3 linked regions of the Oryzias latipes genome follow. The protein of the gene in region 1 interacts with the protein of each later gene in a pairwise test. Links are inferred from orthologs where the notes say so. Each region holds a gene or a part of one and is shown in the gene's direction. Other genes may lie near its edges. The genes, in order: mos, mtmr9 and sec24c.

Evidence for each region.
Region 2: the proteins of mos (region 1) and mtmr9 interact in binary tests that used the Homo sapiens proteins (3 or more experiments, as listed by UniProt). The link is inferred for Oryzias latipes from reciprocal best matches to the Homo sapiens genes MOS and MTMR9.
Region 3: the proteins of mos (region 1) and sec24c interact in binary tests that used the Homo sapiens proteins (3 or more experiments, as listed by UniProt). The two-hybrid records come from large-scale screens. The link is inferred for Oryzias latipes from reciprocal best matches to the Homo sapiens genes MOS and SEC24C.

What each region holds. Positions count from the first base shown.
Region 1 is NC_019878.2:1,546,220-1,549,617, forward strand, and holds mos (proto-oncogene serine/threonine-protein kinase mos), read left to right. Parts: upstream 1-1,489; coding exon 1,490-2,470; 3' UTR 2,471-2,870; downstream 2,871-3,398.
Region 2 is NC_019882.2:13,974,828-13,979,238, reverse strand, and holds the start of mtmr9 (myotubularin-related protein 9), read left to right. Parts: upstream 1-1,511; 5' UTR 1,512-1,607; intron 1,608-1,626; exon of another isoform or gene 1,627-1,836; intron 1,837-1,919; 5' UTR 1,920-1,921; coding exon 1,922-2,103; intron 2,104-2,541; coding exon 2,542-2,650; intron 2,651-3,365; coding exon 3,366-3,491; intron 3,492-3,573; coding exon 3,574-3,747; intron 3,748-3,835; coding exon 3,836-4,053; intron 4,054-4,186; coding exon 4,187-4,348; intron 4,349-4,411. UniProt on the Homo sapiens protein: Acts as an adapter for myotubularin-related phosphatases. Increases lipid phosphatase MTMR6 catalytic activity, specifically towards phosphatidylinositol 3,5-bisphosphate and MTMR6 binding affinity for phosphorylated phosphatidylinositols.
Region 3 is NC_019877.2:12,923,998-12,927,647, forward strand, and holds part of sec24c (protein transport protein Sec24C), read left to right. Parts: coding exon 1-531; intron 532-609; coding exon 610-740; intron 741-1,325; coding exon 1,326-1,394; intron 1,395-2,833; coding exon 2,834-2,942; intron 2,943-3,355; coding exon 3,356-3,483; intron 3,484-3,650. UniProt on the Homo sapiens protein: Component of the coat protein complex II (COPII) which promotes the formation of transport vesicles from the endoplasmic reticulum (ER).

The sequences.
Region 1 (3,398 bases):
ATGGGCTTTCTCGGATTTACAGAATCATCTTCAAAGGAATTACTGGAATAACTGGGAGAAATTGATTTCTTAGTCATTTTTCTGCTCCATACTTTTATTTTTTCAAATACATCCACATTTTAAGTATGCTCATGAAAAGAAATAGAAGCCATAATGCAAAAAGTCGCTAAAATAGTTTATATGAACAAACTTTGACTGAAGTCCATTGAGAAAAACAATTTACAAAACTGATAACAAATAGAAAAAAATAAAATGGACAACAAATTTTCAGATCAGGTTCTTTATTGATGGAATAACTTAATAAAAATCACACTTAACATGCCTGTTTGATGAAGTCTGCATTTATGTCGTCCTCCTCGCGTCTTTCTTGGACGTGGTACACTTGGCCGACAGTCAGTCTGATAATAAGCAACCATGTGGTTTGCTGAGGGACTGATATCTGTCTACCAGTTTACCTCTGAACCAATCCAAAACGGTTCCTCTGATTGTCCAACTTTTTAATTAATGCTTTACGAATAACTATTTCAAATGCTTTTCTTAAATTGATAAATATTCCCACTTCAGATTTCTTTTTTTCTTTCATCAGATCAGTTGAAGTCCAGTTTAAATGTCGTTTTATTCTATCAATGACTGTGTTTTCTATTATGGGTTTGAGCAACACAGTGATATTTGTATTCCCACTATCGTCTGACTTTTTGTGTGCATCTGTTGCCTTCCATCGCAGCATTCACAAAAAACAGCAACATGTGCTTCAAACCAAATCATTTTCCTGGAAAAGCCATCAGTTATCCAAAACCGTACAGGCTGACTTTGTCTGATCCATCTATAGTTTGGTCCCTGACGAACAAACGTCCTTCCAAACCCAGGAATCTGAAAAATTCCAGCTGTGTCCATCAGCTGGATCATTAGCAGCTCAGCTTTAGACATCCACCATTCTGGTGCATCCATCTTCCACACCAAAAAACACCGTGAGGTGACTTCTTTATTCGGCTGAACAGCGACTCAAAAGCATCCACCTTGAATCATTTCAGTAACTTTTGAACTTTGGCTTTTCTCATTTATTTCAGCAACAACTTTGTGTTTTTCTATAGACATTTTTTTAAAGGTCACTAAGACGTGTGATTTTTTTAAACTGATGCCAGAACAGTTGATGTAAATAGTTTTGAAGAGGTTTTTAAAATAGTAGCACACATGATATGTATTCAAGTAAGTGTTTAAACTTAAATCAAAACACAACCCTGACTCTGTAAGGCTGATTTTGTAAACGTACTTCCTTGGCATCCAGTCACGAGTTTAATGCAACTTCCTGAAGGTGTTTCGTTTGTTTATTTGTTTGTTTGTTGCTGTTTTTTCCCTGTAATTTCCAATAAAGCAGAGGAATGGAGAGCATAACAGGGGTCCCGGTGGATTTCTGACGCCTCGGTATTTTGTCCCTCCTCCTGCGCCATATAAACGCACCTGTGGCGGGCGCGTGAAGACTCAAGCCGCCATGCCTTCTCCGATTCCCTCGAGCCGCTTGTTGCCCAAAGGCCTCTTCCCGAGTGCGGTGGTCGGCGCGTGCAGCAGCCCGCTGGCGCGCACGCAGCACGGCTCCAGCCTGCAGGTGCCCCCCCGCTCCTGCACCTCCGTCATTCATTGGAAGCAGCTGCGCTCCGTGGAGCCCGTGGGCTCGGGCGGCTTCGGCTTCGTGTACCGGGCGGAGTACCTCGGGAGCACCGTGGCGCTGAAGAAGGTGAAGAGGTGCAGCAAGAACACGCTGGCCTCCCGGCAGAGCTTCTGGGCTGAGCTGAACGTGGCGCACCTGCACCACCAGAACATCGTGCGCGTCATCGCGGCCACCACCTCCGCGCCAGGAGATTCGGACGCAGACAGCAGCATCGGGACCATTCTAATGGAGTTCGTGGGGAACCGGAACCTCCAGCAGGTCATTTACGGGACGGCGGAGCCGCTGGAGGGAGCGCGGTGCGTCCGGTACGCGGCGGACATCGCGCGCGGCCTCCGGTTCCTGCACTCCCACGGCGTGGTGCACCTGGACATCAAGCCGGCCAACGTCCTGCTGAGCGGCGAGGACGTCTGTAAGATCGCTGATTTTGGCTGCTCTGTCAAACTGGACCGCGCGCGTGAAACCTGCGCTGACCACCCGCACGTCAGCCTCGTGTGCGGCACCTACACGCACCGAGCCCCGGAGCTGCTCAAGGGCGAGGCGGTGTCGCCAAAGGCGGACATCTTCTCCTTCGGGATCACGCTGTGGCAGCTGCTGACCCGGGAGCCGCCGTACGCGGGCGACCGGCAGCGCGTGCTCTACGCCATCGTGGCGCAGGAGCTGCGGCCGTCGCTGCGGGACAGCGCGGTGTTCGGCTGTGCGCGGGGGCAGCGGCTGCGCGCGCTGCTGGCCGCGTGCTGGAGCGCAGATGGCCGCCGCAGACCCAGCGCCTCTGAACTGCTGGAGCTCCTGCAGCGGCTGCCCTAAACCGGAACGGCACGGATTGGAACCGTTCTTTCTCCATGACTGAAAGCCGTTCCGTTCTCACAGGGAGCTCTTTTACTCACATGTAAATATATTGGATTACTTGTCATTAAAACGTTTCTAGTAGCAAATGTCTGTTTTGTTCTAAGATGTTTGATTCTCTGCTGTTCAGGCCTGAAAGTTTCAGCTGGAGGCTGAAGATGCTGAAACTGCTGTAGCTTCATGCTGAACTAAAGGTGGAAGTTTGCTCATTCAAATGCTGCTGAAGAAACCAGCCTAGTACTAGTACTAAAAGGTCCTTAAGCAAATATGTTGAGTACTGTAAAAAAAAAACTTGAAATGATAAAATGCTGGAACGTTAAAGTTAAGTTATATAATGAACTAAATGATCTTTTAAAAAAAATTAGTAAAAAAATGTGTGGGTTTAATTCAATGGGAAATATTTAGTAAAGAGCTAGTCTTTCTGAATCTGTTCTACAGTAGAAAGATCTGAGTTCGTATGTTCCATATGAATGTGAGGCTGCATCCACGCTGAACATGATTGACGTGGGAGGGGCGTCGTTCACGTTACAACAGCGTTTTTCAACCTTTTTGAGCAAAGCCCTGTTGTGTTCTCCATCTTTGTGTCCATTTTACACAAAAAATGCATGCATTTTATAAACTCGTATGGGGGGGTTAAACTCAGTCACACTGAGGCCTAAATCTAAAACAGGCTTTAGGTTTTGGGCTGAACAACAAACATTTACTGAACACACTAAAGCTAAACTTCTAAACCTTTAAAACTGAACTTTTTGATCATAAATATAAATAAAAACAGGAACATTAATCCAGAATAAATCAAGTTAAACCTTAATGTTTCATATTTCTCCATAAAACTAGATTCTGTTAAAATTATACAAATATGAAGATGCTGCAGAACAAAACAAAGCCT
Region 2 (4,411 bases), on another chromosome or scaffold:
GTTTTTCCTAATTTGGCTGATATTTAGTCAGGTAAAATGTTTTATACATCTACATATCTCTTCAGGGGTTGCCACAGCAAATCAACTTTCACTGATTTGCACAGGCAGAGAGTTTGATGCCATACATCAGCTTAATATGCAATTTCATTTAATGTATAGGTACATCCAATAAGTCCAGACGACGACATTAAGCAGTGATTGGTCCGAGTGCTTTTATTCAGGCATCTGATTGGTCATTTTGTACCTTGAGGAACCTGTGCTTAAGCAACAATATCATGAAAAAAGTTAGGATTAACAAGAACATGTTAAAAACAAGCTTCAGAGCAAGAATTGTCATTCTGTCAAATAAAATGACTGAGTAATAGCTGTTTTATTATCTATAGAAGTCTATGGGATTTTGGCTTCTTGGAGCCAGCAGGTACTCCCTATTTGGTACGCGGGGGGGGGGGGGGGGGGGGGGGGGGGTTGCTCAGTCCAGATCTCTTATTAGCAACTGTTTTTTCTGTTTTTTTGCAAAGGATTTTGCAAAGAATTCCTTTAATCCAATAATTAATAATAATTCCAATAATCGTTTTACTGCTCATGGTTTGACAGAGGAATACTGTTGGTAGGTCAGTTACTAAACTATGATTTTTTCATGTCATATTCAGAATTTCTTCAGAGTTCTGGCTTACCAGTGACACCGAAAGAATATGCCGTTGTATTCGATGCAATCGTACCATCTCCCTTCAGTTTCTAAAACTTTCAGTTTCTAAAACATATATCATTAAAACTTGATTGAGCTGAAATCAATAGAGTTTTTATTGGAGATGTGGACATCACAATAAGGATGCACCATATAGTTCAATCAGATTTCTCGTTCAGTTCCACCTGCTGTAAAGCTTTTTTGGTTTTCAACCATGGGTGACCTACATCAGGAAAATGCTATTTCTCCTGTTCATAAATACTGCATTAATAACGAAATAAAAGAAGTTTCATTTAAAATGTCATATCAAATTATTACAGAATTTAGAATAAGGATCAAAGAATCTTGTGTTTTTTGCCAGTCAAGAAGGGAAGCCATTCTGCAATTTATTTGTATCTACACAAATAAATTGTGTCGGATTTGGAAGAATTATTCATCACAAAATTGAATCTAGACATCAAAATTAATATTTTTTATGTCATGTTATATTTGAATTACATGGCTTATCAAAAAATGTCATTTTTATAATTCAACTGTTGATTATCTTTGGGAAATACCATATTCATAATGTGAATGGTCCAGCTTACAACCTTGTTTTACTGCAATCTATTATTAGGACTTTAAGTCCTCTTACAAAACAAGAACACATGCGAAGGCTACAAGAACACTTCATCTTTTAAAGAAGCAGCATATTTAAAACAAAACGTGCCATTTATTCTATGTTCAAAAACAAAACATAAAACTCTGAACTGTAATGCATATTTTTGATGTGCTATAGTTGCACAGTAGTGTTTTCTCCTATCTGTTGTTTTGTATTGTGTTAATAAAGTTTTTTGGGAAAAAGACATTTCCGGGAGACGTTTCCGGTGGGGTGCGCTCGGAATATTTACCCAGCTGTCCGAAAGCCCCAAAACAGGATCAGGTAAGTGTCTGACAAACCTTTTTCGCGTTCGTGGAAAACGTGGCTGCAAAAATTAATAGCATAGACGTACTTTAAACGTTTAACAATATTTATGGTGACACAAATCACGTCTAAAGAAAATCATGGATTTATTGCACAATTAGCCTGCTAGCTAATGTTAGCCACTTTGCTTCCTGATTCAGTGACTCGTCAGTCTGGCAGCAGTTTATCTCCAACATCAATTTCTGTGGTTAGTTTGCAGTGAAACGCCACATAAGTCCTGTTGAATTGAGTAACCAGTGTGTTTGTGCGCATACTTTTGTGTCCTGACAGTCATGGAGTTCGCAGAGCTGATCAAAACTCCCCGAGCGGACGGCGTTGTCCTGCACCGGCCCTTCATGCCCAACGTGGAAGGGACTCTTTGTTTAACTGGCCACCATCTAATTCTCTCCTCCAGACAGGACAACACGGAGGAGCTGTGGCTGCTTCATTCAAACATCGACTCCATTGAGAAGAGGTGACGCTGCATTCATAGTTGAGCATCTTCCTGTTGTTTTGACAGCTTTTAACATCTGTTTCCTGTTCAGTTTGTTTGCATGGTCTTTATTTGATGCTCCATCAAGATCAACAGACAATGTTTTGGTACTTCCTTGCTATGACAGATGCAGATGTGCTAGTCATTTTTAAACATTTTTTGGGGAAAACTAAATAGCATTTATCTTTACATTTGGGGTAATCTAAGCACGATCGTATGTACTTCAGGTTATTAAAAATCAAGACAAAAATCAAAACATATTAAGTGTTTGAACAAAACAAGAGACTTTGTAATGGAATCAGTGCAGACCTTAACACGCTTATCTACACGTTTTCCTTTTAAATGGGTTTTGTCCTCTGATGGCAACCTTCTGCGAAACTTTATTTATTTATTTGTTTAACAATTTGCTCCTTCTTGTAGGTTTGTTGGGTCGTTGGGAAGCATCATCGTCAAATGCAAAGACCTGAGAGTGATTCAGCTCGACATCCCCGGCATGGAGGAATGCCTGAACATCGCCAGCTCCATTGAGGTAAAAAGCCTTAATGATGCCCCAGAGTTTTTTTTTTCTTTTTCCTTTTTATTGCAAACTCTAGCTCGATAATCCATGCGATTAAAGTCCCAATCATCTTTTGATCTATTCTAAAAGCTTTCCCAGTGGTGTTTTAACGACAATTATGCTGTTTTTAGACACATTTTTTTTAGTTTCTGCAGAGTGGCAGTAGTTCACTAGAAATTCACCTCTGAGTTGTCTGCGGGACTGTAGGCGTGCAGCAACCCCACTCCCACTTCCCATCACCTATCTGTTTGCACACTCTTCCCCCTAGCTTACAGCCCCTCACACCCCCAACCTTAACATTAGCTGTGCAAAAAAAATAAATAGCGAGCAATACTGTAACTATCCAGCCGTACAGTTTTGAACCAGATTCCAGCTCAGACGAGGAAAACAAAGATCTATTTGTCTGCAACTCGATGCATCAGAATTGAGCGGAGCAAAGAGCTTGTGATGCACCAACTGTATTTTCTACATCACAAACACTGCATTTTTTGTCTGCTCCTGTTTCGTGATTTGAATATATGAATATTGAGAAATACAGTTTTAATAAGAATTTTACAAATATATATGTCCTCCATCATCAGAAAAATGCCACAAGAACATGTAATAAACACCAAAAACACAATTTTCATTGGATTTGGTTTATTAAGCAATATGGCTTAACATGTTGTCGCTTTTGTGTCCCGTCTAGGCCCTGTCCACTCTTGACTCCGTCTCCCTCATGTATCCGTTCTTCTACCGGCCCATGTTCGAGGTCCTGGAGGATGGATGGAACTCTTTTCTTCCACAGAATGCATTTAAAGGCTTGGAGTCCATGGTCCGCTTAAATCTGACAAGTGTCATTTTACTGACTCAGACGAGTCCTCTCCCTCTTTTTAACGTATCGTTCCCTCTTTTAGACCGATGAGTGGAGGCTGAGTGAAGTCAATAAGGATTTTAGCGTGTGCTCGTCATATCCCTCTCTTGTGGTGGTACCCAAAGACGTCGACGATGACGCGTTGAGGAAAGTTGCCACCTTTCGCCACGGCGGCCGTTTCCCAGTGCTTAGTTACTATCACAGCAAAAACGGCATGGTAAGTGCGCTTAGAATGGATCGAAGATATGACACTGCCTGAGGGAATAGCAGCGAATCCTCCTAAAAATCCTGATGTCTGTCTTCAGGTGATGATGCGAGCCGGACAGCCGTTGGCGGGGACCAACGGGAGGCGGTGTAAGGAAGACGAAAAACTGATCAATGCCACTCTGAGGCCTGGAAAGCGCGGCTACATCATTGACACTCGCACCATTAATGTTGCCCAGCAGGCCAAAGCTCGCGGGGGGGGATTTGAGTCTGAGGCAAACTACCCACAGTGGAGGAGGATCCACAAATCCATTGAGAGGTGATTGAAGGACTGCAGCTGATCCAGTGATGATTTTGTAAATGTTTCATAGCAAGATCTCTATCTTAAAGGAGATATTTGTTTTTGCTTTATCTATTTGTGTTATAATTCGATAAAATGTGTTCATTTTTAGGTATAACGTCCTCCAGGAGAGCCTGATAAAACTGGTGGAGGCTTGTAATGATCAGTCCCACAGCATGGACCGCTGGTTGAGCAAGCTAGAGGCGTCCAACTGGCTGTCTCATGTCAGGGAAATCCTCACAACTGCCTGCCTGGCTGCCCAGTGTATTGACAGGTCAGGCCACTAATGTTCTTTTTCATTTGATGATTCTGCTTTTGTGTAAATTGACCTGCTGGA
Region 3 (3,650 bases), on another chromosome or scaffold:
GTTCTCTCCCCCCCACCTCTCAGCAACGGTTCGTCTCTCCAGGTCAACCTCAGCATACTTTTCCTCCCTCCTCCACCTCCTACGCTGGTCCGGCCCCTCCACCCACTCAACCTGCTTCTACCCCAGTGACCCAGACACAGCCGCCCTTCCTTCCACATCAGCCCCCTTTCTCCTCAGCACCTGGTGGTCAGCCCCCTGCTTTCACCACTGGGCCACCCCCACCCGCCCAGGGATCCTTCCCACCTCAAGCGCCCCCACCTTCATCACAACCAGGTTCCTTTCCTCCTCCCTCCTCAGTTTCCTCTGGGCAGTACCCTAGCTCTATGCCGCCACCACAGCAGCCTCCTCAATCTCAGCCACCCACCTACCACCCAGGCCCCCCACCTCCCCAAGCCCAAATGCCCCCCACATCCATTGGTCAGAGTAACCATCAGCCTCCAGGACCCCAGGGCCCGCCAAGCCCTACAGGGCCTCTTCAGCAGCCTCCTCTTCAGCAAGGGATGCAGACTGGTTACCCTCCGCAGCATAATGGTGAGAAGATGATTAGAAAGAGATATCAGTGAGAAAGGATTCCTCAGCATGACTCATCAGTTGTGGTGCCCTCCTCAGGTGCGTTTGGGCAGCCAAGAAGCCCTCAGCCTGGTTATGGAGGTCCTTATCAAGGACAACCCAACTACGGAGCTCCAGCTCCAACTCCACAGGCCCAGAAAAGACTCGACCCAGACGCCATTCCAAGTCCAGTAAGCCACCTTAGTGCATGTACTGTTCTCCCACCAATGTTCTGGTTCTGACCCGTGCACCACTTCACTGTTTTTCTAAGCTCCATAAATTAAACTGAATCCTTAAGCAGTTGAGCAAAGGTGTGACAATATTTTAATGACTGGTGACAACTTCAGAATAAAGATTCCTAATTTAAATACTATCAGTTTTTCCTTTCAAAATAAACATCTAGCTGTCATAGGATTTGTGATTTTTATATCGATTTTATCAAATACATAATCATCTTAGTTTTGAGCCAGATTTTCTTGGAATATAATGTACTTTTGAAAAGTTAGGACAACATCAAAATGTTGTTTTTTTTTTGTGCTCAGCTTGAAATACCACCATGGACTGAATCTGCTTTGCTGCTAAATTTAAATCTAATTTAAATCTACTTACACTCAAACTGCTGAAGCTCTAATCTATAACCAGCACTGACCTGTTTGTGAGATTCTGAGCAGTCTTGCTGTGGCCTTTCTTCTCTCGTACCTTTTTTTTGTAATCTTTGTATTTATTTATTTTGTCCTGTTCACACAAATTTGCTGGACAAACATTTGAATATAAAGCAAGCATCTGACATGCCGCCTGTGCAGAAATCAAGACATAGAATAGACCCAGATGCTATCCCCAGCCCAGTAAGTTTCCTGTGTGCTTGTCTTCGTTCTCTTCATCCTGTCACTTCTGCCTGGTTGCACTACACCCCCTCCCCCCTCCGTGCTTTTCTGCTCCCCCCCGTACCCCCCGATAAATTTGGTAAAATGGACCACCAGCACTAAACCTGAGATGTGTGTCTAAACAGTTTCAGACTCAACGTTTTCCAATTCAGAGGACTTTTCTGTTGTATGGAAGTTTGTTTGGGTTAATTTGAAGACAAAGTAACATTGTGACAGTGTTAATATGACCAATAAATACATTGATCTACAGTTTAACAGTACAAAGCTGTTCAAGGTGGGCCTTCTTTTGACTGAGGCAGAGTTGGAGGTTAAGGTTTGTGTCTTGGAGTTGCCGGCAGGTGTAGCTGCTGCACTATCTATTTTACATAGCGGCTTAGAACAGCTGACAGATCAGGCAGTAAAGAGTTGCTGTGTTTGTTCACACGCTGCAAGGAGTGATCGAGGAGTTTCCTGCTCTGCATCGCTCTACAGGGCCGTGCAGAGGTGTTGCAAGCTAGAAATCAAGCTAACCTGCCTTTCCTGAACAGCAAAGCACTGCTCATAACGCAGCTATAATGGCCACGTTTTGGCCAGATCCTTGTTCGCTGCTAAAGCTCGCCAGGCTGGATGTAGATGAAGAACATCCGGATGTCCTGAAGCGTCCTCCTAAATACAGGAATAGAATCTTGTGTGTCTGCTGTAGATGTTAATGAGTCCATCAGGATGTGGGGAGTCTCTTTAGCTCGATATGCTGGATCTAAAGCTGTCCTTGGATCCGCCTTGATGCAGATTTTTCCAATGCTCTAGTGGATTGGAAGTTTGTTCTAGATGGTTGGGATTTCAACATTTCAGTTTAATTCTGAAATTCTGAAAAAGTCATTCCTGATGGGCTGTCAAACTAGTTTTCCCTCTTAGAAAGTATTTTCCCAAACGTCATACTGTTTTGTTTCGTCTTTTTGTCTTAGAGCTGACATTGACAGATTGAATTAGATGGTTAAAAATAGTGCGCATTTCTTACTACAGCTTGTGTGTTTATTGGGGAGATGCAGCTCCTTGTTTTGCCTCCTTGACCTAAAACATGGATTGATCCTCCTGTTCTGAACCCTGCATGCCAGCTTGCAGCATTTAACCTGCTCACAGATCCTTGTATTGAAGGCTCATCTTTACAACCCTGTTCTGTTCAAAGGATTTGGTTTTGTGACTTTGTCGACAGTGTGAGCATGACCCTTCACCCTGGCTCTTCCCAATGAGAAATCATTGTTTCTGTTGAAGATGTTACTAATCTGCATGCGGACTCTCCTCCTGCATGGCTGTTTCATGTTCCTCTTTTAGGCGGGATGAGATCTGGGCTGGGACAGTGTGTCTGTACCTCTGGACCTTCACTCCAGGTTGAACTCTCGTGTTGCTTCTCGTTTATCTAGATCCAGGTAATAGAGGACGACAAGGCCAAGACCACCGAGCCGTTCACAACAGGGGTCAGGGGTCAGGCTCCGCCTCTTGTCACCACCAACTTTCAGGTCAAAGATCAAGGTTTGTTCCACTTTTCTTGCTCGTTCATCCAGTCAGGGTTTGAATCCCTGTTTACCTCTAAGCCCAACCTCTATCTGAGGGTTTCTAAAAGGACTCATTATAGCCACAGGTAGGATGTTTAAAGAATTTAATGAGTAATGATGCTACATTATCATCTAAATCAATTTAAATATAATCCTTTAGAATGAAATTAAAAGTTGAAAAGTCTGTAAACTGTGTAAGAGTTTTAAAACATCTATAAATATTGTAAAAATAAGGATGTCTACTTTGCTGATTTCACCTAACAGGTTATTTTTAGAAGGTGATTCCTGCGATAAACATGGGAACTAACTGATCAGAAAAAACGTTATTTATTTGTTTTTACCTGGTGTGGCTGTGAAAGAAACACTCATGGATGACCTGCTGGTTTGTAGGGAACGCCAGCCCGAGGTTTGTTCGCTGCACGGCTTACAACATGCCGTGTACCGCCGACATGGCAAAGCAGTCCCAGGTGCCGCTGGCTGCCGTCATCAAGCCCCTCGCCATCCTGCCGCCTGATGAGGTCGGTGCTTTCCCCTTCTCTTAATTTTCTGAGCTGGAGCTGGACTTTTTGTTGCATCCCTTTTTCAAACAGAGGAAAGTTTAAGTCTGGGTGCGGCGAATGAAGTCTTTTATGGATTGTCACCGCTTGTTCTTCAGGAATGAATCACACTTGCCAGTTAAATGTTC